2 linked regions of the Daphnia pulex genome follow. The protein of the gene in region 1 interacts with the protein of each later gene in a pairwise test. Links are inferred from orthologs where the notes say so. Each region holds a gene or a part of one and is shown in the gene's direction. Other genes may lie near its edges. The genes, in order: BTB/POZ domain-containing protein KCTD9-like and protein N-terminal glutamine amidohydrolase-like.

Region 1 (12,445 bases):
TAACTTTTTCCACCTATTTAATTATTTTTTGGGTTAAAGGGAAACTGCTTTTGTGGGTTTATCCCACTCCGATAGCCAAAGTGAATGGGCTAACGTGCTGCCAGTTTTGTTTGTCAGTTATAGCACGGCGTTTTCTATGCTCCTACACGCCATGTCCGTCCCGATCGTGTCACTTTCGAACGTGACACGAAAGAACAAAGACTCGCAAATGTTATTAGTTAATGGCTGGCTACACTTTTTGTTTTTCCATGCTGTGCGCGTGAGTAGGAAAACGAAGATTAAATGAAAGTTCTAATACTACTTAATTTTATATTTAGTTGTTTGGCTGTATGGGCGCTGCAGCATTACACCGCCGCCACCTGATGGTTTGGAAAATTTTTGCTCCGCGACTTCTCTACGAGCTACTTTTCGCTGTTTACACTTCGTTGGGGATTGTTGCATCTTTATTCCTTTTTCAGGCAACGATGTAAATATATTTCGTTCTTATCATTTTCAACCCGAGACAATCGATCAAAAGACAAAAAGTATTCAAAGAGGGAAATAATCAATTGAGGGATTGTCCGTTGCCGGCTTTTATAAAGGGAAACGATTACAACAGAAAGGAAGCCCTTAGAGAGAAAAAAAAAAACATTATTGAATGGAAGAATTTATGAAAAGCTTAATCATTTTTTCTTTCTTTCTTTTTTCACTTGACATAGGAGTGAATAACTTTGCGGATGATGGATACACATTCCAGCATTTCCTTTTCATTGATGACCAGTGGTGGAGCAAAACGAATAATGTCACCGTGGGTTGGCTTGGCGAGCAGTCCTTCGTTACGCAGCCTCAGACAAACCTCCCACGCGTCAAATTCTTGAGAATAATAAATTTTATTTAGTAATCGGTAACTTGGGCATGATAAATGAATTTGGTTATTACCTGGCTGGATAACGATAGCATCTAACAATCCTTTTCCACGCACTAGTTTGATGACTGAGCTAGGAAGTTCCCTCATTTCATCTCGCAGGATCTTTCCAAGTTTTTCCGCATTATCCGCCAACTTTTCTTCCTCGAGTACCTGTAATCAGCAATTTTTGTTTGATTAAGACATCAGCGAAAGGCCCAAACTTTGAGAGAATGCTGATTTGTTTACTTGCAATGCTGCCATAGCCACTTTACAAGCCAGAGGATTGCCACCAAATGTTGATCCATGTTCGCCTGGCTTGATGGTTAACATTACTTCGTCGTTGGCGAGAGCAGCAGCCACAGGAAGAACACCACCGGAAAGAGCTTTACCGAGAACCAGAATGTCAGGCTTAACATTTTCGTGATCAACAGCCAGACGTTTGCCAGTCCGACCCAATCCTGTTTGCACTTCATCAGCAATCCACAGTACGTTGTTTTTAGTGCACAATTCTCTCACGCTCTATTTTAAATCGTCAAGTCATTAACGAATTTGCGCTATAATTTAAGGTGGTGTGATTCTCTTACCCTGAGATAACCCGGATCTGGAACGACTACTCCAGCCTCGCCCTGAATAGGCTCCATCATGAACGCGCAAACGGTAGGGTCTTCCAAAGCAGTCTGTTATTAGCAAATGAAAAATAGAACGGAGAATAATGGCAACTCTAGAGTAATAATCAAAACATAATCATGACGGTAGATACCTTCAGGGTGGCCACATCGTTGTAAGGAATGATTACGTAGCCAGGCATGTAAGGGCCGAATCCGGCATAGCTAGAAGGATCAGTGGAGCTCGAAATGGCGGCCATCGTTCGACCCCAAAAATTGCCTTCGACGAAAACAATCTTTGCTTGGTTGTCCGGAATCTTTTTGACAGTATAACCCCACTTGCGAGCCAATTTGCAAGCCGTTTCGCCACCCTCAACTCCGGTGTTCATTGGTAGGACTTTGTCATATCCAAATAGCTTGGTAACATATTCCTCGTATTCTCCTAGTACATCAGAATAGAAAGCCCTCGAAGTTCTAACAGAGAAAGAATTTGCGAATAATTTAAGACCCGTACGTTATATGGCATGCGAAAAATGTAATTTAATTACTTACAACGTCAATACGTCAGCTTGTTGATGCAAGGCTTTGATGATACGTGGATGACAATGGCCCTGATTGACGGCTGAATAAGCGCTTAAAAAGTCGTAGTAGACGCGTCCTTCGACATCCCAAACTCGCACTCCTAAATTGAACTACCCAATTCAACAATCATGGAGACAACAATTTATCATTGCAAATGTTTAACCGACCTTCGCCTCGACAGAGGGCTACGGGCAAGGGATGATAATTGTGGGCACCGTACTTATCCTCTCGTTTGAAAATGGCCTCTGATGCAGCTCCCATAGAGGCGGACAAATCTTCAGCTGTGGCCGCCGATACTTTCGTCGCCTTTGTACGAACTAACGAAGCCCTCCAGCCGTTGATAATTCCGGCCATTGGCCGAATGGTCTTGTTCATCGACGTAGCCATTTCTTTTCAAATCCTTAATTAATTGCAACAGTTAAGAAAAAAAAAATTATTATATTTGTGTAGACGTGTACAAACATAAAAATAATAACCTGAAACAAAATTTGCATTATGTCTGTATAGTTAGGCTAGGGAATTCAATCACGCTCGAAAACAAAGAGAGACGTATTCGCATCACGCCATACTACTCTCAATGCATACGCATTTCTTCTCTACTGAGTAGTGTCAGATTACGATTTTCATGCTCTTGGTCGAAAACAGTATTCAAGGTCGGAAGTTATTTTCATTCGGGAGTTCACATCTCTACTGCGTCGGCGTGAAGCATCGCTATCATTTTCTCTACTAGTCGTCCTTCACTATCTCGTAATTTTAAATATTCACAATGTGATTACTGCAAGTCTCAGGGCAATGTTTATCGTTAAATCAAGGGCAACACTTCCGGATTTGAATAAAAACTGTTGAATAACCAAGAAAAAAACCCTAAGCTTGTCACAATTGACATCGATCGGTTGTGCAGTCGTCCCATTTTCAACGCCTCTTATTGAACCAACAGATTGCCACTTAGAGTAAAAATCAGTCGAGAATAGGAGATGGAAATTCCCGCAATAAAGTATCAGTGTTGCGTCAGACCCTGTTTTCCGAGCTATTTTCTATAAGACATAACGGGAGTGCAAAACTGTAGAGCAGAAAGCAGTTCTACTTACGAGAGATTATTTACAGTGCAGTGGAGCAGTCGTCTCAGGTGGCACGAGTGTCCCGGAGGCTGTCGCGAGGTAGAATGTCCGTATTCCTAGCGAAACTCGGTCACTACATTGGACGATTGGCGCATATCCAATGGCTTCTGTGGGTTTCCATCACTTACAACTCTGCCGTTAGATGTCACGTTGTGTTTAATTTGCATTGGTTTTGATCAAATTTCAAATTTACACATTTTATTAACATATATCTGAATATTTGCAGTGTCGCAGTGCACATTATTTATCTGGTATTGTAAATCCAAATGATTGTAATCCTTAATATCTTCCAGTATTATCTAATCTACAAAAATTTAATCAGTCTATTTATTCAGTTCGAAAGTAAAAAAAGAAGAAGTTTAATCGCAGTGAATTGCTCGGGTTTTCAACAACATGTACGTAAGTTATACGTAAATGTTTGAAAAGGTAAGAAGATAATTTTTCTTTTAACCCAAGTTAAATTTCCCCTTATCGAAATCCTCATCTCAAACTGTGCCCAGGGAAAAGAGGTCAATAACTAAAGGTTGGCGTCCCCCCTCTCTCCATGTGTCATCGACTCTTTTAAAAAAGAATAGCACACACCTCCAGGAAGGCTATGTTTTTATGGCCGTCAAGATCTAATCGACATTTAAAAGAATAGAAGAGATGCGTGTTTTCATTGAAAAACAACTTAAAGCGACCTTGGCAACAAAGAAAGTTTATTTCGTCTATATTCAGCTTCGGAAATCTCAAAGTCAACAAGTTGTGTCCATTCAAATCACAAAGATATTTAAACTTGGGCGATAGATTGGTTCTTAATAATAATCTGCCGCTCTTCTTCGATCGATCGGGCCAGTGCCGTTACGTTGCCGGCACCAAAACCCCTCGCTCCTTTTCTCTGCACCACTTCCATGAAAAATGTTTCTTCGTTGAACAGTGGGAGCGTGAAGATTTGCAAAAGAAACCTGTTTGATAATTAAAACGTATTAGAAAACATGGATCGGTACACACACAAGAAAAGCTCACCTGTTGTCCTGCACTTCATCGCGGATATCCGCCTCGGAGTCGATGAGAATTCCTAACCGCTGAAATTCTTCGATGTCGAAACCAGCCTCTTGGATTTCTTTCCTTTTAAATTCCTAAACAAAAACAGATTTTTCATTTGAGGTTAAAACGAGCCACGAAATTTGCATTCCAGTCACATTTACGTACATTGCGGTAATAAGCTGCAGGCGGTGTTCGAAATGGAACCTGTTTGCGGATCATGGCACTCACGCAGCTGGTGATATCAAGGGAGCTGAGACCGATGTGTTGAAGACCTGGTCCTCCGTGACCGCCAAGGAAGGCGCCAATGTGCGAATTCTCTGTTTTGCCGTGAATCGCCACGTCATTAAAGAAATACTACGTTCGCTCGTATTATTAGACTTAACAAGTTATTTTCCTACTGACAATTTAGGAAGCTAACATTAGATGATCGAGATTTACCTATTCCTGGGAGAGATTCTGCGATAACAATTTTCAACGATGTTTCATCCATGCCATCGGGATTTGAATTACAAACGCCAGATTCAGCACAGGGCCAATAGTCCATCACTCGTAGTCTCATACCAACTCCGTCTTTGATTACTAAGCCTTCTTTCAGATTTTCAGTTGGATTGGCTCTGAACTTTTGCATGCCCAAGCAGTCTTGATACCACTGAATGATACCCGGCGATTCACCAGGATAGCACACATAAGTCAAATGATCAACATGTGTGAATGGTTCTTCACCCTGAATTTTGCTATCTTCTTCAGATTCATAATTAAATGTGGGGAGGAATGATCCCTTGTACTGAGATTTGTCCAAAAGTGTGTGGATTATGTTGCCACAACAGGAACCAACAATTGAGTACCTCACTTTTCCTTTTTTATCTTCCACTTCTGTGACAGGATGAAATAGTTGTCCTCCAAATTTCTGCATCCTGTCGGTGACACCTTCCAAATTTTTCACTTCCAAGGCAACATTGAACACTGTGTCAACCTCATGAACAGGTGTTTGGAAATAAGAAAATGGCACGAACTGCTTGCTGCTAAGTTTTTTCCTTTCCGTTACGACAAATGTAGATTTCTGACTTCCAACTACCCACTGGCTGCTCAGCAATGTATCTCTCCGTGCTCTCAGCGAAAAGCCAAGTTTGTCAGTAAAGTAGGAAACGATCTTCCTTCCGTTTGCGACACACAACTCAACATGATGTAAGGCATTTAAATGCATTTTGAAATACGACGCAAACACCGAAAAGTAAACCGCGGTTGAAACTGCTGTTTAGTTATCTTTAATTCTACAAAACAATACGTATATGGTTACGTGATAAACTGACGAAAGTTACCAATCACGGTTGTCGGCCTATGCAGACGACGGGATTGAATCTGGTCTGAAATTCGTCTGCAAAAAAAACGACAAAATAATATAAATCTTAAAAATAAAATATTACTAAATTTTGTTTTTCATTTCCTTCGTGAACATTTTCATACAATAAGAAAAATCAAAATAGAGCACATTTTACTGGTATTTTAACTTAGCGTGATTTAATGTAAGTGATATAGGGTTACGTCACAACGCTGTTGTGAAACTTGCAAAACTAATTTGCAGGAAAAAATAACATTGTTTTTTCACTTTTTCCTTTCTCTGAAAATTGAATTCTGAATATTTGTTTATCAAAAGGCCTTATAAAGTTTGACTATTACATGACACTAAGAGTGACCATATCTAAGAATGGAAATTCTTTATCAGGCAGAAAGGTTTGAAATTTTTTTTTACATTTATACTTCATTTTTACAATTTACTATTTCTAATCTAATAGGTCATTGCAGTTCCCTCAACATTTACTGAATTCCTCGCAGTGGCAAGTCTGTCTCTAGGAATAAAAGGAAAGAGGGTTTTTAACCAACATGGTGGAGAAATACATGACATTTTATTTATAAGGTACATTTGTTAAAAGCTTGTTTATTGCCAACTCACCAGTCCACTTGATGAAAAAGAATAAACCAATATGGATTTCTTCAGTTCATTCACAGAATTAACAGGCAGTCGATTCAGTTGTTTATGTGTGTCTGTTGGAGACAACAGATGTTTTACTCCTTTTATTAGCTATTTAGTTTTTTTTTCTTGTTTTTTAAATCCTTAATTTGACCTTGGTAGGATAGGATTACATGTTTTCTGCCTATAGATTATTAGTTCTGGAAAAAAAAACCTCCATAGGCTATTACTGTCTATAGTGCTATAACTATAAGTAGCAGGGAAATATTTCCAGGTAGTCTAATGATACTGTTTTGTGTTTTGTATTTCCAGGGACAATGAACTGCTGTACATATCTGAAGGTGGAGATTTTTGTTCAGAAAAAGAATGGGTGGCCCTGAATGTTGGTGGAAAACTTTTCACTACAACACGGATGACCTTAACAGCTAAAGAGCCATTCAGTATGCTCTCACGGATGTTTTCTTCCGATTCCGGACAATTCAACCTTAGCCCGAGCTCAGTTGATGCCAGTGGCGCATATTTGATTGACCGTAGTCCGACATACTTTGAGCCAATTCTTAATTATTTGAGGCATGGCAAATTAATACTTGACTCTGGAGTTAACGTGCAAGGGGTTCTAGAAGAAGCTCAATTTTTTGGAATCGAGTCATTGGTACCTCAACTTGAATCTCTCGCCGATGACGAAAAGTCGAAGAAAAAGCAACAACCATTGACAAGGGCAGAAGTTATCAAAGCTTTGGTTCGTACTTCACCAACCACCGAACTTCGCTTTCAGGGCGTAAATTTGGCCGAAGCGGACCTCTCTAAACTTGATTTAAGGAGCATAAATTTTAAAGTATGCGAGTCATGGCGACGTAAATATTCTTGAACCCACTAACGTATTATGTTATAGTATGCGTGCATGCGTGGCTGTAATCTGTCCGGAGCAAATTTGAGTTGGTGTAATTTGGAGCGTTGCGATCTATCTGGCTCAAAAATGGATGGGGCACAACTTCTTGGAGTGAAAATGCTGTGTGCTACATTGGAAGGTAGAACACTTCATCGAACATTTTTTAAATAATAGCTGATTTTATTTTTAAAAACTAAAACACAAAACTTTTTGTTTTTTAGGCGCTTCCTTACGTGGCTGCAATTTTGAAGACCCTGCTGGTAGTCGAGCCAATATGGAAGGTGATTCAGCACTTATTTTCAATTCAAAGAAATTTTTTAATCCAAATGTTTTTGAATGTGCTCTAGGAGTCAACATGAAGGGAGCTGTTCTCGAAGAGAGTAATATGGCTGGGGTAAACCTTCGTGTGGGAACCTTGAAGTACGCAAATCTTCAAAACTGCACTTTGAGGTAAATATTATAAATTTGGTGTTTTCTTCGTCCTTAATAATGTACAGATGTAAATTGTTTAACAGGGGAGCTGTTTTGGCTGGAGCAGATTTGGAGGTATTAGTTGTATTAAATACATCTATACTTTCCGGTTATTGGTTTTTAAACTTTAAAAATTTACTCTGTAGGGTTGCGACCTGTCTGGAAGTGATTTACAAGAGGCCAATCTTCGTGGAGCAAATTTAAAAGATACAACATTGGAATTAATGTTGAATCCCCTCCACATGTCTCAGGCTATTCGTTGATTATAATTTTTTTCGCCGGTCTACTCCCTCCTCGTTTTGATACGAAATATGAAGCTTTACATTAAATTTTTTTATTTTAAAATCCATAAATGAATTGTATTAGTGGACAGTTTTAACTATGTATTATTTTGTTCCTATTTATTGATTTTAATGATTTAGATTTAGGAAGAGGTGCGGGTTTTCAATTTAAAGAAAAATACAATATGTGGAACAGTAAACTGCGCGGATATTATTGTTTATGTCTACTTGTCTCGAGTCACTGGTCCTAGATGGGTCGAAGTGTCATGGCGTCGTGTGTTAATTGTCTTTCATCTTAGAAAGCCAACGCCCAGAACCATCAACGTTTCCTACAATGTTGGTTGGATTTCACAACGAATTATTTTCCGTGTTATTTTGTTGAAATATTTGTGTTCTGGGAGTGATATTATCTTCAGAATGCAAAAATGCGGGAAAACTCTTCAGTTGATGGCAAGAAGAAGCTCGTCAATAGCGGTGTCCCACTAATACTAACTTTAGTTGTATTATTGTGTGTTTTGGAATCTTCAATAGCAAAAGGGAAAACAGAATTTCCCAAGACAAATGCTGATCTACAAGCCACATCACTTTGTCCATCTGCATGCACATGTTCCGAACAAAAATTAAAGCTATCGCAAGGTAGTGTGGAGCAAGAGCTTAACCCAAGTAATCATAAAGAAACCACAGAAAATCTCAATGTATATAGCAAGATAAAGCCTGAAATACTCAAGAGTGGAATTAAAGTACAGTGCCAGAATCCTGCCTTTATAGTGTCTGTGAAGAAGTTAAACCTGCAATCGCTACTGGTGGAAAATATTGTACAATATGATCTTTCTGGAAACAGCCTTACAAGGTTATCGGGTGAAGACTTTGTGAACGGCAACTACTTAATGCTTCAGAAACTTATACTTAAGAACAATCAAATAGAAGAAATTGCAGCTGATACATTTTCAACGTTGAAGAATCTCAAATATTTAGACCTGAGCAATAATTTTTTGACAAATTTTTCCAGTGCAATAATTGAAAATGTTATGAGCTTAGACAGAGTGAAACTAAATGGAAATCCCCTCAAGTGTGACTGTCATCTGAGTGCTCTTCTCACCTACGCGTCGTCACGTAACATCAGACTTCAAGGAACATGTTTGGAGCCGCCTCGACTAAAAGATCGTTCATTAACCAGATTAGTCGTGGAAGAACTAGCATGCCCCCCGGAAGATCCAGTTGGTGTCGAGATCAGACCCAACACTAACCAACTTGTTTTTGAAGGTGATCCATTAAAGTTGAGTTGCAAATTCAAAGCGGGACGAGCTGTTGCACCGAATTGGCTTCATCGAAATGCGAATAACCAAACTGCTACCGTGTCGCCTGGTGGAGCTGTAGAATTAACAACTAGCAGCCGTGGAACAGATCAGGGAACGGAGACCGAAAGCCAATTACTCATCCGTCATCTACTTCCCCGGCATGGTGGTATGTGGGCTTGTTCATGGGGTGGTAGGACTGCATCTGTTGAAGTTACAGTCCTGTCCCTTACAACACCTACTTGTTCCAGCCATGTCACTGCATCCAACAAAGGTCGTTACAGCTGGCCACGCACCATGGCAAACCTCAAGATTACTCTACCGTGCCAAGCCAATCCGAATCTACAGGCCTTCCGGCTGTGTGGAGCACTAGGGCACTGGGAGGAACCAGATCTTAATTCCTGCTTTTATCTCAGTGAGGTTACCAAAGTATTAGAACAGTTTGCCAAGACCAATTTGACATTCAGCAAAACTTCTGCATTGGAGAGTGCTCGTAGATTAAAATCCTACCTCACAGATGTGATTAGCTTGACAGATCCGCACGAAGCCATTTTCGTTACACAAACGTTGCACAATTACCTTGAAGCCAGTGGAAAACATCCCGAACTACTACCCCTTATTATGGATATCTACTCAATCCTAATAACACAAGATCCACAATTGTTGGCTGATTCGCGTCACGGACTTGTCGGGCTACTCCAGCAAGCACCTCTCAAGACTCAAGAATTTGAATATCGATCTTCCAGTCTGGTGATTGAAAAGTGTGGAATTATCGGGAAATCTCTGAGTGCAGGAACTTGTACGTGGAGACGAACGTCAGAGACAGGCAGCAGTAAATCAGATTCTAAAACTAAAGCACGAAGTCCTTATCAAGCAAGTTGTGGACAGAACTCGAACGGAACCGGAACAATTGAAGCTTCAGTAAGGGTTCCTTTGATTTCAGAAGGAGCATTTTCGGAGCAGAGTGTCGTACTTTCCTTAGTACTCAGCACGAACGCCTTTGTCAGCGCTAAATCGAAACCACTTGCAACGCCTGTATTAGGGGTTACTTCTGGCCCTGTCAGCAATTTAATCAATCGCACAACACCCTTCGTTATGACGATACGTCTTAGTAGGGCAATTGGCACGTCGGACCGTCTAGTCGGAGCTAGATGGAATCATTACACAGATCAATGGAGCCCAGAGCAATGCCAAACTTTGAAGTCATCAGGACTAATGTCGGAAGGAGACTCAGTAACCTTTCAGTGCTGCTGTGGCTTCGGTTTTTTCGCCGCGTTTACCACCCAGGACGAAGAGGATGAACAAAATCTAGTGGAACAGGTGACAACAAAGAGTGGCAGTGGCAGTATTCCTGGTAGCGCATACTTTCCTGGACAACTACATCTTCTACCATCACCGGTCTACGTGGGCAGTGTCATTGGACTACTGTGCCACCTGACAGCCTGTCTCTGCTATCTGATTCACCGACGGCGACTGAAGATGACCCAACCCACTCGACACGCTTTAATTAACACCTGGATATCAGTCGCATTGCTGATGGTTGCCTTTACATTAGGTGTCCGTCCAGTCCTTGGCAAACTTCCTTGTCAGATTGCTGGTCTCTTACTTCACTATTTGACACTGAGTTCACTGCTCTGGATGGTAGTGAACGCATCGAGTTTGTACAAGCACATAACAAAATCATCGCGCACTGATCCTGAAACAGACTCGTCTCTTATGGAGGAAGCAATGGCTGTAGGTCACGATTCACCACCCAAACCAGCTTTACGGTTTTATTTAATCGGATGGGGTATCCCACTTATTGTCGTGGTATGTATTGGAATCTTAAGAAATTCTACTAAAGGTTTTGTAAATTGTAAATCTTCCATTTGTTTCCAGGGAATTGCTGGAGCTATCCATTTGGAGCAATACTATGGGCCAAAGATTTGTTTCTTGGCTTGGACTCCTAGTTTGGGTGCAGTTGGACTTCCTTCGGCAATTTTAATTTTGCTGATCTTAACATTTCACCTATTAACCTGGTGCTTCTTAAGACACACCTCTCGTCTGGCTGCCATTCATCAGAAACAATTAACAACGCTCGCTGCAGTCGAAGAGCCTGGTGCAATGGCAGCAGCTGCTGCGGCCTCTTCTGATGGAAATAAAGACGTGGGCATGTGTGGGCGAATGCAAAAAGACAAAAAGACTTGTGGACTTCAAGGAGGCTATGTTCCATTAGCAGTCGACGGAGACGTTACCAGCTGTCCATCTAATGTAACCAATCAGGTGACAGAGACGAGCGATCTAGCCTCTCTGTCTAGTGATCATGAGCGAATCGCACTTTTGATTCAACGCGGTGAAGCCGAAGGAGCCATGTCAGCCAACGAAAGCGTAGTTCTTCATTCCGGCCGAAGTGAGAGCGAGCGTCCTCTACTAATTGTTACCTCCTCAGCTGCTTCTAGTAGTGACGACCGATTGGAGGATGGTGCCAAAACGGACGTTGACGATCAAGGGCACAGTAATCCGCTGATGGCCTCGTTCACTGATGACGGTGACAGTAAGAAGCGGGAATGTGCATCCAGCATATCACCCTCTATCATGGAACCCGGGATACAAAATGCTGTAAGAAAATAATATCTTTCTTAAAAGAATCGTAACTTAAACTCATTCTGATTTATTTTCTTAATGATTTCAGATATTTCATTTACCTGTACAAGCTGTTATACCTCCCACGCCGACTGAAGATGCCGATGAAAAGAGCACGTTGAGCCAATTGCGCGGCCAGTTTGTTTTCCTTATTCTTTTTTGTCTTACGTGGCTCTCGGGATTGTGTGTTGTGGTTCGTCCGTTCCGCAGCGTTCTTCCCCACTACGACGAGCTTGTCTCTAGCCTTTGCTATGCCATTTTCTGTGCAGCTACAGGATTGCATGCTGTACTTTTTCACCTTCTTACTAGGAAGGATGTCTGCGCTTCCTGTTTTGATCCGCACACTAAGGAGCATTTAGAATCTATTACAGTAGCCCTCCCAGCTCCATCCACTCATTCTCATACAGATTTGTCCTCCCACCATAATCATCATCAGCAGCAACATCATCATCATCGTCATCAGCAGCAGCAACATCAACATCAGCAACATCACCATTCCCAAATTGGTCAAACACCGGTGTCCTACGCAACTCTTTCACGCCATGCCGAAGTTTCAGATGAGGTAGACCGTGGTATGGAAAGAACAACGGCTGGGCAAGTTCACGTTATCGATCCTGCAATCGCGGATGCTATGAATGTGACCCTTATGGATCCGTCTATGGTGGTCAATTCTTTCTACGATCCTCGTCAGAGTAAAACAG
Region 2 (11,407 bases), on another chromosome or scaffold:
CATTAAAATATAGGAAATATAATCATAAAAACTTGTGAAATCAACTTAATCTACTTAAAACAAAAAGGGAAAGAATTTCAATTTTCCGACAAGGAAGTTATTAACGAGAGGTAAAACCACAAATATCCGCTACAAATTTGGCATCAACACGTCCGTTAGAGATAACGAAACGGGTGCAAACAGGACGTTAATGTTGCTGGTTTCAAATGTGGAAATGTTTGTACAAAACGAAAACCACTCTTTGCGGTTTGGAATTTTTTTAGGCGATCTAAGCACAGAGAAAAAGTCATCAGACATTCGATTTCTCCCTTCGAGCAAGGTGCGTCTACTTTGAAACAATTTCGACAAAATTCGTGAGTACCTCAAATTGAAAATGTCAAGATCACGACGGACGTGCGTTTCATCACTTGGGAAGTCGTTTCCACAGTTAGTAAGTAGTGGACAAACGGTTTGGTTGTTTCAAATTTTCTTTCTCTTGTCGACTCTGATCGTTCAGAGCCAACAGCAATTCAAACTGACACTAGTCCCGAGCGGTGATGAACAGGTGGTTGAAGCCGGTTCAACTGTAACAGTCACCTGTATATTGGCCGATTACTTAATTCTTCCCGAGCTGTCAAACGTGACGTGGACGACTGAAAACAGAAGAAACATACAGGTTTAAAATAATAATAAGCATATAAATATTGGAAATGACAACAACAATATGTCGATTGTTTCAGGATATTGGCGGACGCCTGAATTTGACTAGTAACACAAACGGCACCCACCTAATATCAATGCTTACGTTAAGAAACGCAACAGCTGAAGACACAGGCTATTTCGAATGTAGCCATTTAATGTACTCCAGAAGAACAGTTTCGTCCCTCCGTCAATACGTTTACGTTTACAGTTGGTTATATCCCCTATTATTTCTTAAGCGCAAAGCAAAAATAACAGCAGAAATTTTAAGATGACAATTCAGAATTCACAACTAATCAGCCACTTTTTCAATTCACTAAATTTATAGGCTATGAACAACTCGTCTTCGTACAAGACCAAGAAGATCAAGAACATCAAAGTTATTTCATCGCCGAAACAGGACAAGCTTTCACCGTCCCGTGCAAACCCACTCATCCGAACGTCACCGTCGCTCTATTTAAGGGAAATCCACTCACCAATTTTTCTGAGGTAGCACTAATGGAATTATTCAATTTTGAAAGAGTTTTCAAAAATTATAAACTTGATGAAGGTTTGGTTATCCCAAAACAATTCGGTGTGGTCGTTTGAACCGACGAGAGGATTCACAATAAAGAACATTAGGGTTAATCTAAATGAAGATACTCTTTACTTTTGTACTGGAACGCTGGACGTCATCAAAGGAAAACGCGTCAAAATTTCCGAAAAAAGAATTGACGATGACTTCCCAAATTTTTTAAAAGGGTTTTTACCGAAAGATAAGCTGCCAATTACAGACTTTGCACCCTTCCTTTTAGGCGTAATAGGTACGGTACATGAAGTTCAATTTTGAAGTAAAAAAAGTGTGATTACATCACAACTTAATTCTTAATAGGAATGGAACTGGAAAGGGTCGGCGAACCAAACGATCCCGTAGAAGGAAGTAACGTCACTTTAATCTGCAGCATTTCAGCATTACAAAGAATGAGTTCGTCCCTTATTTCAATGTGGTCCTATCAAATCAAAGGCAACGGAGGAATGCAAATCATTGATGACAAAAACCCAGCACCACCAGGTCTGAAAGCATTGGCAAACTGAAAGCAGTCTTGGTACCATTTTCTGAATTCTCTGACTTTCTGAAGGTATCCTCACTACGGAAAAGAATAATATTGGTGAAACTTATACGTATAGAGTTGACAAACGACTGTACCTGCACACCGTTAACCTTGGCACACCCTACACAAGATTCCAATGTTCAGTAAACAATAGAAGGAGGGATCGAAAAGAGATTTCTTTCACAATAAAAGGTAACGCTTTGATCAAATTGATTTTTTTTCTTTTTTTTTAAATCTTTCCATTATGCTAATTTCATAATTGCAAAAATTATTTAATTTAACCTCTTTTCATTTCTACAGAAATAAACAACGAACCAGTAGTTAATTCTATCGCATTGAAAAATGAAACAGCCCAGAATTTAACGTGCAACCGATTATCGCAACATGTCAAAGTTCAGTGGTTCAAGGTAAACTAATCTTACCATTCTTCGTAGCAGCCGTTCTTTATACCAAACAATTACTTTGATTTAAAGAATAACAGGAAATACACCGGCATAATCTTCGAAACTGAAATCGCGTCCGTTTTGCCACTCGAAGGAAGAGCAACTGAAAATGGAACCTACGAATGTCGGTGGAACAACAGCCGTGGCGAAGCGAGGCACAGGCAGTTTATTGTCAGTTTCATTAGAGTTGGAATAATCGACTCAAGTGAAGCAAAATCATTTGCTACAGTCAACGGAATTTCAATAACTTTTGCAGTTTTATTTGCAATTGGAGTTGGAATCAGTATCAAAATTTACCTCGACAAGGTAAGTGATGAAAAGGAATTCTTCTCTCAACATGTTTCCTTACTTCGTCACATTTGAAAATTCAACCTAATGTCAATCCTCATTTAGAAAAAGGTGGAAAAATCCCTTGAAAGTAGACTGAATGGCGACCCAGGCAAAATCGACCCGGATGTGCCGATGGAATATCAAACGGAATTCCTGCCCTACGACAAGAAATGGGAATTTCCCAGGAAAAGACTCAGACTTGGTACGTTATTCTCTAAAAACAAATTTATGCTTGATTCCGTCAAGTGAAAAAAATTCTTTAAAATAAAGGCCAACAACTGGGAGCTGGTTGTTTCGGGCGAGTCGTCAAAGCGGAAGCCGTGGGCATTGGAGGAACTGAAACGGTGACCACAGTGGCCGTTAAAATGGTTAAAGCAACTGCCCAGTCTGATGACGCCTTGGCCGCTCTCATCAGAGAATTAAAAATCCTCATCTACATGGGATCGCACGTTAACGTCGTTAATTTACTAGGGGCCTGCACCAAAACTAATAACAAAGGTGAAATCAAAAAGCAATAAAACGAAAATTAATAAATTAACAAAATCTACGGCCTTGATTTTGCAGAAGAACTTTTGGTCATCATCGATTATTGTCGTTTCGGCAACATACAAACATATTTGACAAAACATCGCGACCAATTCATCAATAAATTGAACGAATTCGGTGACTTGTCATCACTTACTGAAACGGCGGAAACGGAAATTAATGAAAAGTAACTAATTATGACACAAATCGATTCGTGAATCTCATTTTTTTCTTATAGCGACAACATCAACGAAGGAAACCCTCCCGTATCAACAGTGGATTTAATCAGATGGACTTTGCAAATAGCTCGTGGGATGGAATTTTTGTCCAGCAAAAAGGTCTGTGCAGTCAAATGACCTACGACTTATTAAATTGTGAAATTTCGAATTGTCTATGATTTGACTAACAGATTCTGCACGGCGATTTGGCCGCCCGCAATGTCCTTTTAGCCGATCACGGAATCGTCAAAGTTGCCGATTTCGGAATGGCAAGGCAAATGAAGGATTACGAATACGAGAAAAAGGGAGAGGTAAACTAATAAATCAATAAAATTATAATAATGTTCAATAACACGTGAGATCTCTCTTTGATGGACAGAGCTTAATACCGATCAAGTGGATGGCGATTGAATCGCTTACAGCTAAAATTTTTTCCAGTCAATCGGATGTCTGGTCCTACGGGATTCTCTTGTGGGAAATTTTCTCCCTCGGCAAAGTCCCATACCCAGGTGAAACACAATTCAAATGAAATATCCCCTCGAACTTCTCGAATGAATTATTTCATTACCAAAAGGAATGAATGGCAGGGAACTAATGGAAGATATTCAAAATGGATATCGAATGACACCACCGGAATATTCTCCAAATTTCTTCGGCCAAATTATGAAAAATTGTTGGGAGAAAGATCCAAAGCAAAGACCGAGATTCTCTCAACTGTCAGAAATGATCGAAAAATACGTGGAGTCATTTGTCAGCATCGACTATTTAAATATAAATTCCTCGTGTGAAAATGGTGCAATCAACGAGATACTCGAACCTACTGCGACCAGTCGTTTAGATATCGTGACAATTTTAAATGAGATCCGGCAATCAGCTGATGTGAACTATTCTATTGGTTATTCAGAATTGCAAGCAAAATAGGCAACGTGACCTGCTTAACTATGATCAGTTATCTTCACAAAATGGTCTGAATTTCTTCTATTGGCAAAATACACAACGCTGTTCAAAACTAGCCGGTAGCGCATCATCGATAAGGAAGACGTATCCTGCATCATGTTTTACACAAATCGTGCGGGAAAACAAACGTTGACATTTTCGTCTTAATGTAGATTTGAATTAATAAAAATGTGACCCATAAATATCAAGACACTTAAACGAGGAAGGGGCTTCTATTGATTACTGTAGCTATTTTAAATAAAGTTGGTGGTAAACTAGATTTCCCTTCATCTAATTCCCATCAAATGAATCAGAAAAGGATGACTTACCGAAATGTTCTTGTAGCCTTCATCAGCCATGGCTAGAGGGTTCTGGTCAGTTGAGTTTCCACAGAACTGAATTGGCCTGGGCACCACATTTTGGAGACTGCCAAACTGGAAATTCCCTAGTAAAATTTATAAGACATACATTTTTGTAAGAACTATCATTGTAAAATTTGTGATGAACAGTTAAACATGGTACAAACACATCTAAGCATGAATTGAAGATTAATAATAGATTGTCAAAGTTAATATTTTTTTTTTACTTGTACAAGAAAACGAAAACTTCTTTAATACAATTGATTGTTAAATAGTTATTTACCTGATGGCACCTATCATCACGGTACTAGACAGGGATGGGGGGAAAACTATAACCAAATCAGTAACAAGTTTATGGTGAAATCCAACTTGAAATGTTTCAACTGAATAAATTGCTGGTCGAAGCATTTTGACATAAACTCCGGGAAGCAAACAGTCACCTGCAGTCTGCAGGCTCTCAGCTGATTAGAGTTGACTCACAGGATCATTTGACGGAAGCAAATTTGTTATTGACATCCGTCGTCGCCGCCTGATGGATAGAAATTCAAAGGCCCCTGGTGGCTGAATGTAAACAAAATAATTACATTTTATAAATATTAATGAAAAAATAATAATAACATTAATGGGCCCAAGCTTTGGAAGAAATCAATACTCCTTAAATGTGCTCATTGCTTTAAATACAACACAATCTTTTATTCAAATCGAAGCCATATTGTGTTCCAACTTCATTTTCACTCAATCTCTACACCCACTTTACTATGAACAAATGAGGTGTGGAGTGGTGGTGGAATCATAACAATAAAAACTCGAGAGTTATGGAAAAAAACTATACCTGCTAAGTAGAAAAATTTATGAATGTCGAAAGAGTTAGGCTAGGCCTCTTGATTGCTCCAATACCAGCAGCATCAGTCTCATGACTACTTCATTTGGAATTATCTAAATCAAGAACACATGGATTATAAGTCCTCTGTTCTATAAAGCTATACAGGATTATAAGTCCTCTGTTCTATAAAGCTGTACATACTCAAATCGTTTACAGTTTAAAGCCTATTTCAAGTATCAAATAGCCTAATATAGTATCACAATATAAGATAGGATGGGGTGTAATACCATGCTTTTTAGTAATTCAATAAGTTTTTGTAATCATGCAACAATGAAGCAAGATATGAGCATAATAAAAATAAAAACCTTGCTTTAAGTCACGATCAGATCATGAGATCTAAACTTTGGGTTCAATAAAATAATTCCTGTTGACTGATAGTTACGTTTAACTAAGCGCAAAAAACAGACCACACACTTGATGATAAAGAATTTATGCTAACAATTTTACCGATTTATCTGGGGAAACGCGAAACGAATACAAATTACCAAACGAACGTAGAGAATTGTAGAAACGATCTGGTAACGATAATACTTCCAACATCATGTGTACTGCCTAATTTAAAAAAACACATACTGTATTACTGTCGACTCGTCGGGTGTCGACGGTGGCCACCATTTTGAATAATTTAACTGAAACTGGAGGGGGAATGGGGCAAGGTTGCATCAAGATAAAAATTTATTCGGCCACATCTAAAATAAATTAGCAAATTGGATATGTCATATGTGTTTTGATTCTTTCGAATTATTCTCGAATGCAGATTCATTTAATTATTTATTATCTCGATTAAACTGAGGTCGGAAAATTCCTCTAACCTGAAACAAACAACAAAATGTCTTTCTTGAGGCCGCAGGCATAGAGAATAACGAGCTTCTCTATGTGACTACTAGATGGCGTCACCGCTCGGGTTGGCCCGCGGACCCGGTGGTTCAACCCGTCGCCCGGCCCGTAGAAAATATGCCTCGGTGGGTCGAGTTGGGTTGGTTTTTTTTCCTTCAGCACAGGCTGTGGCCCGGGTTTTCATGGCCCGGGCCACAGCCCTAAAGAGTAAAGAGACATCTGTCGTAGAAATTTGTCTCTACGCAGGGAAAAGTGCAGAAGAAAAAAATTTTGCGAGTTTGAAACCGTTCGAATCTTCGAAAAAGGATATAATAAATAATAATAAAAAAATAAAACACCGAAATTCGATGAGTTAGATTCGTCCCTCAACTAGATATTTAATTCAATGTCTATTTCAATAAATTCAGAAGACTGCGTCTACACAAGCTGTTATTGGTAAATATTAAAATGACTTCTTTTGCCCCAGCTTTACTGAATAGTGACATACTTTTTATTTGTTACATACAAGAAGCGAGGAGAATGTATGGCATGTATGCAAATATGTGAAAGAAAATCACCCTGGACTTCTTGACAAGTGTGTTGCTGTATTCATTTCAAATGAAAAGCAAACCATCCCGTTGTGGAGTCAAAAGCAGAGCACTGATGAGAAAGGGCTAGTTATCTGGGTAAAACATAAATTAAATCACTAATGCATAGATTTATGTTGATTTTTAAATATTTCTTTGTAGGATTATCATGTGATATTCATTTACCACGCCAAAGAAAATTACTTTGATGTTTATGATTTAGATACTACATTACCGTTTCCCTGTTCATTTGAAGAGTACAAAACTAAAGCTTTGGGCCTAGATCATGATCTGCAAACTCAATTTCAAAGGTTGAATTTTAATTGATTGCCATTATTTCACCATTCTCAGTAAACTAATATTCTTCTTCTCCAGATATTTTAGAGTCATACCAGCTGAGCAATACCTAACAAGATTTGCTTCTGACAGATCACACATGATTAAGGATGCCAAATGGTTGAAACCTCCCCCAAATTATCCCCCAATTTTTACTGCCACATCCGCAAATAATTTAAATGATTTTATAAGTATGAGTAGTCGAGAAGTTCCCGGTCAAATTTTCAATTATCGGGATTTTGTCTCGAAATTCTCTTGAAATTTGACAAAATACAAAAAAATATATTATCTTCAGCGCTTGGCCGCTTGCGCATTATTCACACGCGTTTATAGCAGACGAAAAGATGTCAGAAACTCACGTTCGTTGTCGAAAATGTCGAACAAAATTGATTTTACCTGAAGAAAAAGATTGCCTGACAACTTGTCATGGACCTTCTGATTCTCAGGGAGAGGATAATTCAGAGTGTCTCTTGGATAAGTCAATATTATATGTTAAGGATGAGAAACTGCCAGTCTGGCTTGAAACCCTAGTTCAGACAGTAAGTACGCTCAATAATATTTTACAAACTCATGAAGAATGACCAAAATCCCTTTTCTTCTGTATTAAAGTCTTCCTGGACCAAGGGTAAAATTGTTTGCCCTTCTTGTGATGCCAGGCTTGGTACCTTTGATTTCCTATCTGGACAGAAGTGTCAGTGCCAACTCCATGTCCTACCTCCTGTCCGATTGACAAGCAGTAAGGTGGATCAGCTGAAATCATGATATGAAAATGTTGTTATGTGATATTTTTGTATGAATTCATTCATGTTCCCTGGCAATTGAACCATAAATAAATCTGAAAGAATCCCCAAACTGAAAAATATTGTTTTCTTGAAAGCATGAACATCTTGCTGAAGCATAATTTATCAGTCAGTTTCTAACATTTAAGATTTTTAAAAAAGTAAAGAATTTTTAAAGTAGTTTTTATTTTTAAAGAAGAGGAAAGAATAATTTTAAAAATCTGAATTCGTCATTAATAATAAAAATCACCGAATTAAATATTCAATATAAAGTTTTCAATGTAAACGTGGCAATGCCACATATTTCCGGGCGTCCACCATTGAGAATTTTTTTTCGTTAAAAATTTTGGCGTCGAAAATTTTGTGTGGGAAATGGACTTGAAAACATTGTGAATTTCTTGCCGGAACTAGTGTTTTTGCATCGATCTTCAACTCAAGGATTATTAAACGCGTTATTGGATAATTGCAGGCCACCACCATGGATACTGTTAAGGCTTTTAATGCGGAGGTAAACGCTCGAATCTTTCAACTTGTGACTAGGGGGATGTATTTTTCAAAATATTATCAAAATTTTACAGCTCTCGTCGCTCTACGACATGAAACCACCTATATCCAAGGCAAAAATGACTGCAATCACAAAAGGCGCCATCAAAGCAGTCAAGTTTTACAAACATGTTGTTCAGTCTGTCGAAAAATTTTTGCAAAAAGTCAGTAATTTTGGCCACCAGTTGTCAAACACGCTTTTAGTTGACATAATGACATTAAACTTTTTTCTTGATTTCAGTGTCGACCTGAATACAAAATCCCTGGATTATATGTGATTGACTCTATAGTTCGACAATCTAGGCATCAATTCGGAGCAGATAAAGATGTGTTTGCTCCTCGGTTCTCAAAAAACGTAACATACACCTTCTACTTCATTTATCAGTGCACTGGCGAAGAAAAGGTAACCAACTTATTTAACAACTTGACATCATTTGATCTAAATAACATTGTACTGCTACACAGAGTAAAGTCATCAGGGTGCTCAACTTGTGGCAGAAAAATGCAGTGTTCCCTCCTGAAGTCATCCAGCCACTATTTGATATGGCTGATTCCAGTCATCCAAAGTTCAAGGAAGTAGCGCAATATGTAAACTCAAAAGGGGCCTCCAGTTCAGGGATATCTGCAGGCAAAAGCAATTCTCAGGACAATACTACTAATCTTAATGGCAACAATGAGGCAGCAGTTAGTTTTGAAGAAACATCCAATGATGGAAATCAGGTGCAGGTAACTTACCGTCAGTTGTGCCCAAAGATGCACATTGTTAATAAAGATTGTCCTTTGCAGAGTCAGTCTTTGGTAATGGGAAATCTTCCCAACCTGAGTAGCACAGAAATGAGTCTAGCTACCAGGCTGCAGCACCTGCAACATCTATTTGGACAAGAACCTCCCAATAACTCGAGCAATCCATTAGCGGCTCAGCCTTTAACGCCAGCCAAAGTCCCTGCGAATGCCAACGATACGGGGCAAATTCGATTCAACAAGAAGCTCTTGGACTTTGACTACGATGAAGAAGACGAAGAGCCGGACAAAACCGCTAGGGAAACTGGCCAACAGCAAGCCAAACCACAACCGCCTCCGCCACAACAACCAGTTCAACCTGCTCTTACATCAAATTCCACTTCCGAATCACTTGGAACGTAAGTGCTTACAAACCTATTGGATAAAACAAAACTAAAATGCTAAACCTTGTTTTCCAATCGATTTGCAGTTTGCTGACTAATCCCGACATTCTGCGACATCTTCAAAGCCTCCAGCAACAAATTGCACAGCCAGCGGTCCAGTCGGCTTCAATCAGCACGAATCACCACCACCATCACCAGCAGCAGCAACAACACCACCACCATCAACAACAACAGCAACACGAAGAGCAACCGATTTGGGAGCCGGCCAACAACCACGGCCAATACGGTCAAATTGATTTTACTCAACCGCCACCCGGATTCATGCCGATGGGAGCCGCCGGTTTGAGTCAACCTCCAGTGGGCTTCCCTCATCACCATCCTCCGCATCCGCCGAACGCCGCAGCTCAGTTCCAACAGCACCATCAACCTCCGACCATCAGGGAGGACTTGTTTCAACCAGGCAACGGTGAAGTCATTGAAATCGATCCTCCACGATCAAAGTAAGAATTACATTTCATTTAACTATACTGGCGAGTTACCAATTTTTAAACCAACTCAGAGAACGAGAGAGACGGAGAAGTCGATCGGGATCACGTGGTAGACGAGCCCGAAGTGGTGGCCGTCACGGGGGTAGAAGGTCGAGCCGATCGCGATCGAGATCTCGTGATCGGGGTGGTGTACGAAGACGTTCCAGGAGTCGTTCCAGGAGTCGCAACACTCGTGCTAGGCCTCGATCTCGGTCTCGAGACCAAGAGAGGGAAAAGGAACGTCTGGAACGTGAAAAGGAACGCGACAGGAAGCGGCGAGGTCTGCCACCTACAAAGAAAGAGGCGCTGAGCGTTTGCAGCACCACCCTGTGGGTGGGTCACCTCAGCAAACTGGTCCAACAAGAGGAGCTGTCGGATACGTTCGGCCAGTACGGCGAGATTTTGTCGATTGACCTGATCCCACCACGAGGATGCGCTTTCGTTTGCATGCACCGACGACAGGACGCTTACCGGGCACTGACTAAATTGGCTGGACACAAATTGCAAGGCAAAGCCATCACGGTAATTGATTGACTGGCATTTTTCTTAGTTTAATTTTCTAGATTTGACAAGGTTTTAATATTTTTTAAATTAAAAACAGCTGGCGTGGGCACCGGGCAAAGGAGTCAAGGCTAAAGAGTGGAAAGACTTTTGGGAGGTGGACCAGGGAGTGTCTTACGTTCCATGGCAAAGATTGAGCCAAATGACGGACTTGGAAGCTCTGGAAGAAGGTGGATCCTTTGATGAAGAAACACTTCCTCCTTGGTTGCGTCATCATTTAAATCAGGTAATTCAACAGAATTCAATTCCGGAATTTTATTCTTAACATCTCTGTTTGTATTTAAAGGACGATAAGATTGGGCAGCAAAGGATTCCAATGGCTCCTACTGGCTTCATTCCCATTCCGGAAGCGGGTCCTCCTACTCCCGAAATGAATGAACCATCCAGCGGAGGTGGACAGGCTATGTCGACTGCCTCGGGTCCATCTTCACTGAATACTGCCACAACGACACTGCCGGCCAATCTGCCCACTTATGCAGCCATGGCTCCTCATTCACTTGGACTCTTACCAGTGCCCCTGGGAATGCCACCTGGACTCAGACTGCCTCCGCCCGGTACTGCCGCCCATCTTCTCATGAGTCAAGCGGCCGGTGCTGGCACCAACGCCGCAATGGCCACTCATCTGCTCGGGCAATCGATTTTGGCCGGACTCGGGGCAGCTGCCGCAGCTC

What was found.
Region 2: the proteins of BTB/POZ domain-containing protein KCTD9-like (region 1) and protein N-terminal glutamine amidohydrolase-like interact in binary tests that used the Homo sapiens proteins (3 or more experiments, as listed by UniProt). The link is inferred for Daphnia pulex from reciprocal best matches to the Homo sapiens genes KCTD9 and NTAQ1.

Annotation. Positions count from the first base shown.
Region 1 is NC_060017.1:7,089,150-7,101,594, forward strand, and holds BTB/POZ domain-containing protein KCTD9-like, read left to right. Parts: upstream 1-5,757; 5' UTR 5,758-5,894; coding exon 5,895-5,948; intron 5,949-6,010; coding exon 6,011-6,132; intron 6,133-6,168; exon of another isoform or gene 6,169-6,260; intron 6,261-6,498; coding exon 6,499-7,021; intron 7,022-7,078; coding exon 7,079-7,214; intron 7,215-7,296; coding exon 7,297-7,356; intron 7,357-7,422; coding exon 7,423-7,525; intron 7,526-7,590; coding exon 7,591-7,621; intron 7,622-7,692; coding exon 7,693-7,809; 3' UTR 7,810-8,027; downstream 8,028-12,445. Other genes in the region: GPI ethanolamine phosphate transferase 3-like, read left to right, coding at 40-259, 318-470; ornithine aminotransferase, mitochondrial-like, read right to left, coding at 686-852, 919-1,057, 1,133-1,405, 1,471-1,563, 1,647-1,965, 2,044-2,173, 2,241-2,460; 4-hydroxyphenylpyruvate dioxygenase-like protein, read right to left, coding at 3,961-4,135, 4,197-4,309, 4,383-4,534, 4,656-5,421; uncharacterized protein LOC124196876, read left to right, coding at 8,253-10,931, 11,001-11,720, 11,794-12,445. UniProt on the Homo sapiens protein: Substrate-specific adapter of a BCR (BTB-CUL3-RBX1) E3 ubiquitin-protein ligase complex, which mediates the ubiquitination of target proteins, leading to their degradation by the proteasome.
Region 2 is NC_060028.1:392,701-404,107, reverse strand, and holds protein N-terminal glutamine amidohydrolase-like, read left to right. Parts: upstream 1-6,548; 5' UTR 6,549-6,685; coding exon 6,686-6,735; intron 6,736-6,811; coding exon 6,812-6,965; intron 6,966-7,028; coding exon 7,029-7,177; intron 7,178-7,241; coding exon 7,242-7,461; 3' UTR 7,462-7,741; intron 7,742-7,811; 3' UTR 7,812-8,062; downstream 8,063-11,407. Other genes in the region: vascular endothelial growth factor receptor 3-like, read left to right, coding at 374-655, 720-888, 1,007-1,167, 1,229-1,481, 1,550-1,729, 1,797-1,961, 2,070-2,176, 2,243-2,518 and 7 more; SR-related and CTD-associated factor 4-like, read left to right, coding at 8,460-8,489, 8,560-8,688, 8,766-8,927, 8,990-9,250, 9,311-9,663, 9,735-10,148, 10,208-10,697, 10,777-10,962 and 1 more. UniProt on the Homo sapiens protein: Mediates the side-chain deamidation of N-terminal glutamine residues to glutamate, an important step in N-end rule pathway of protein degradation.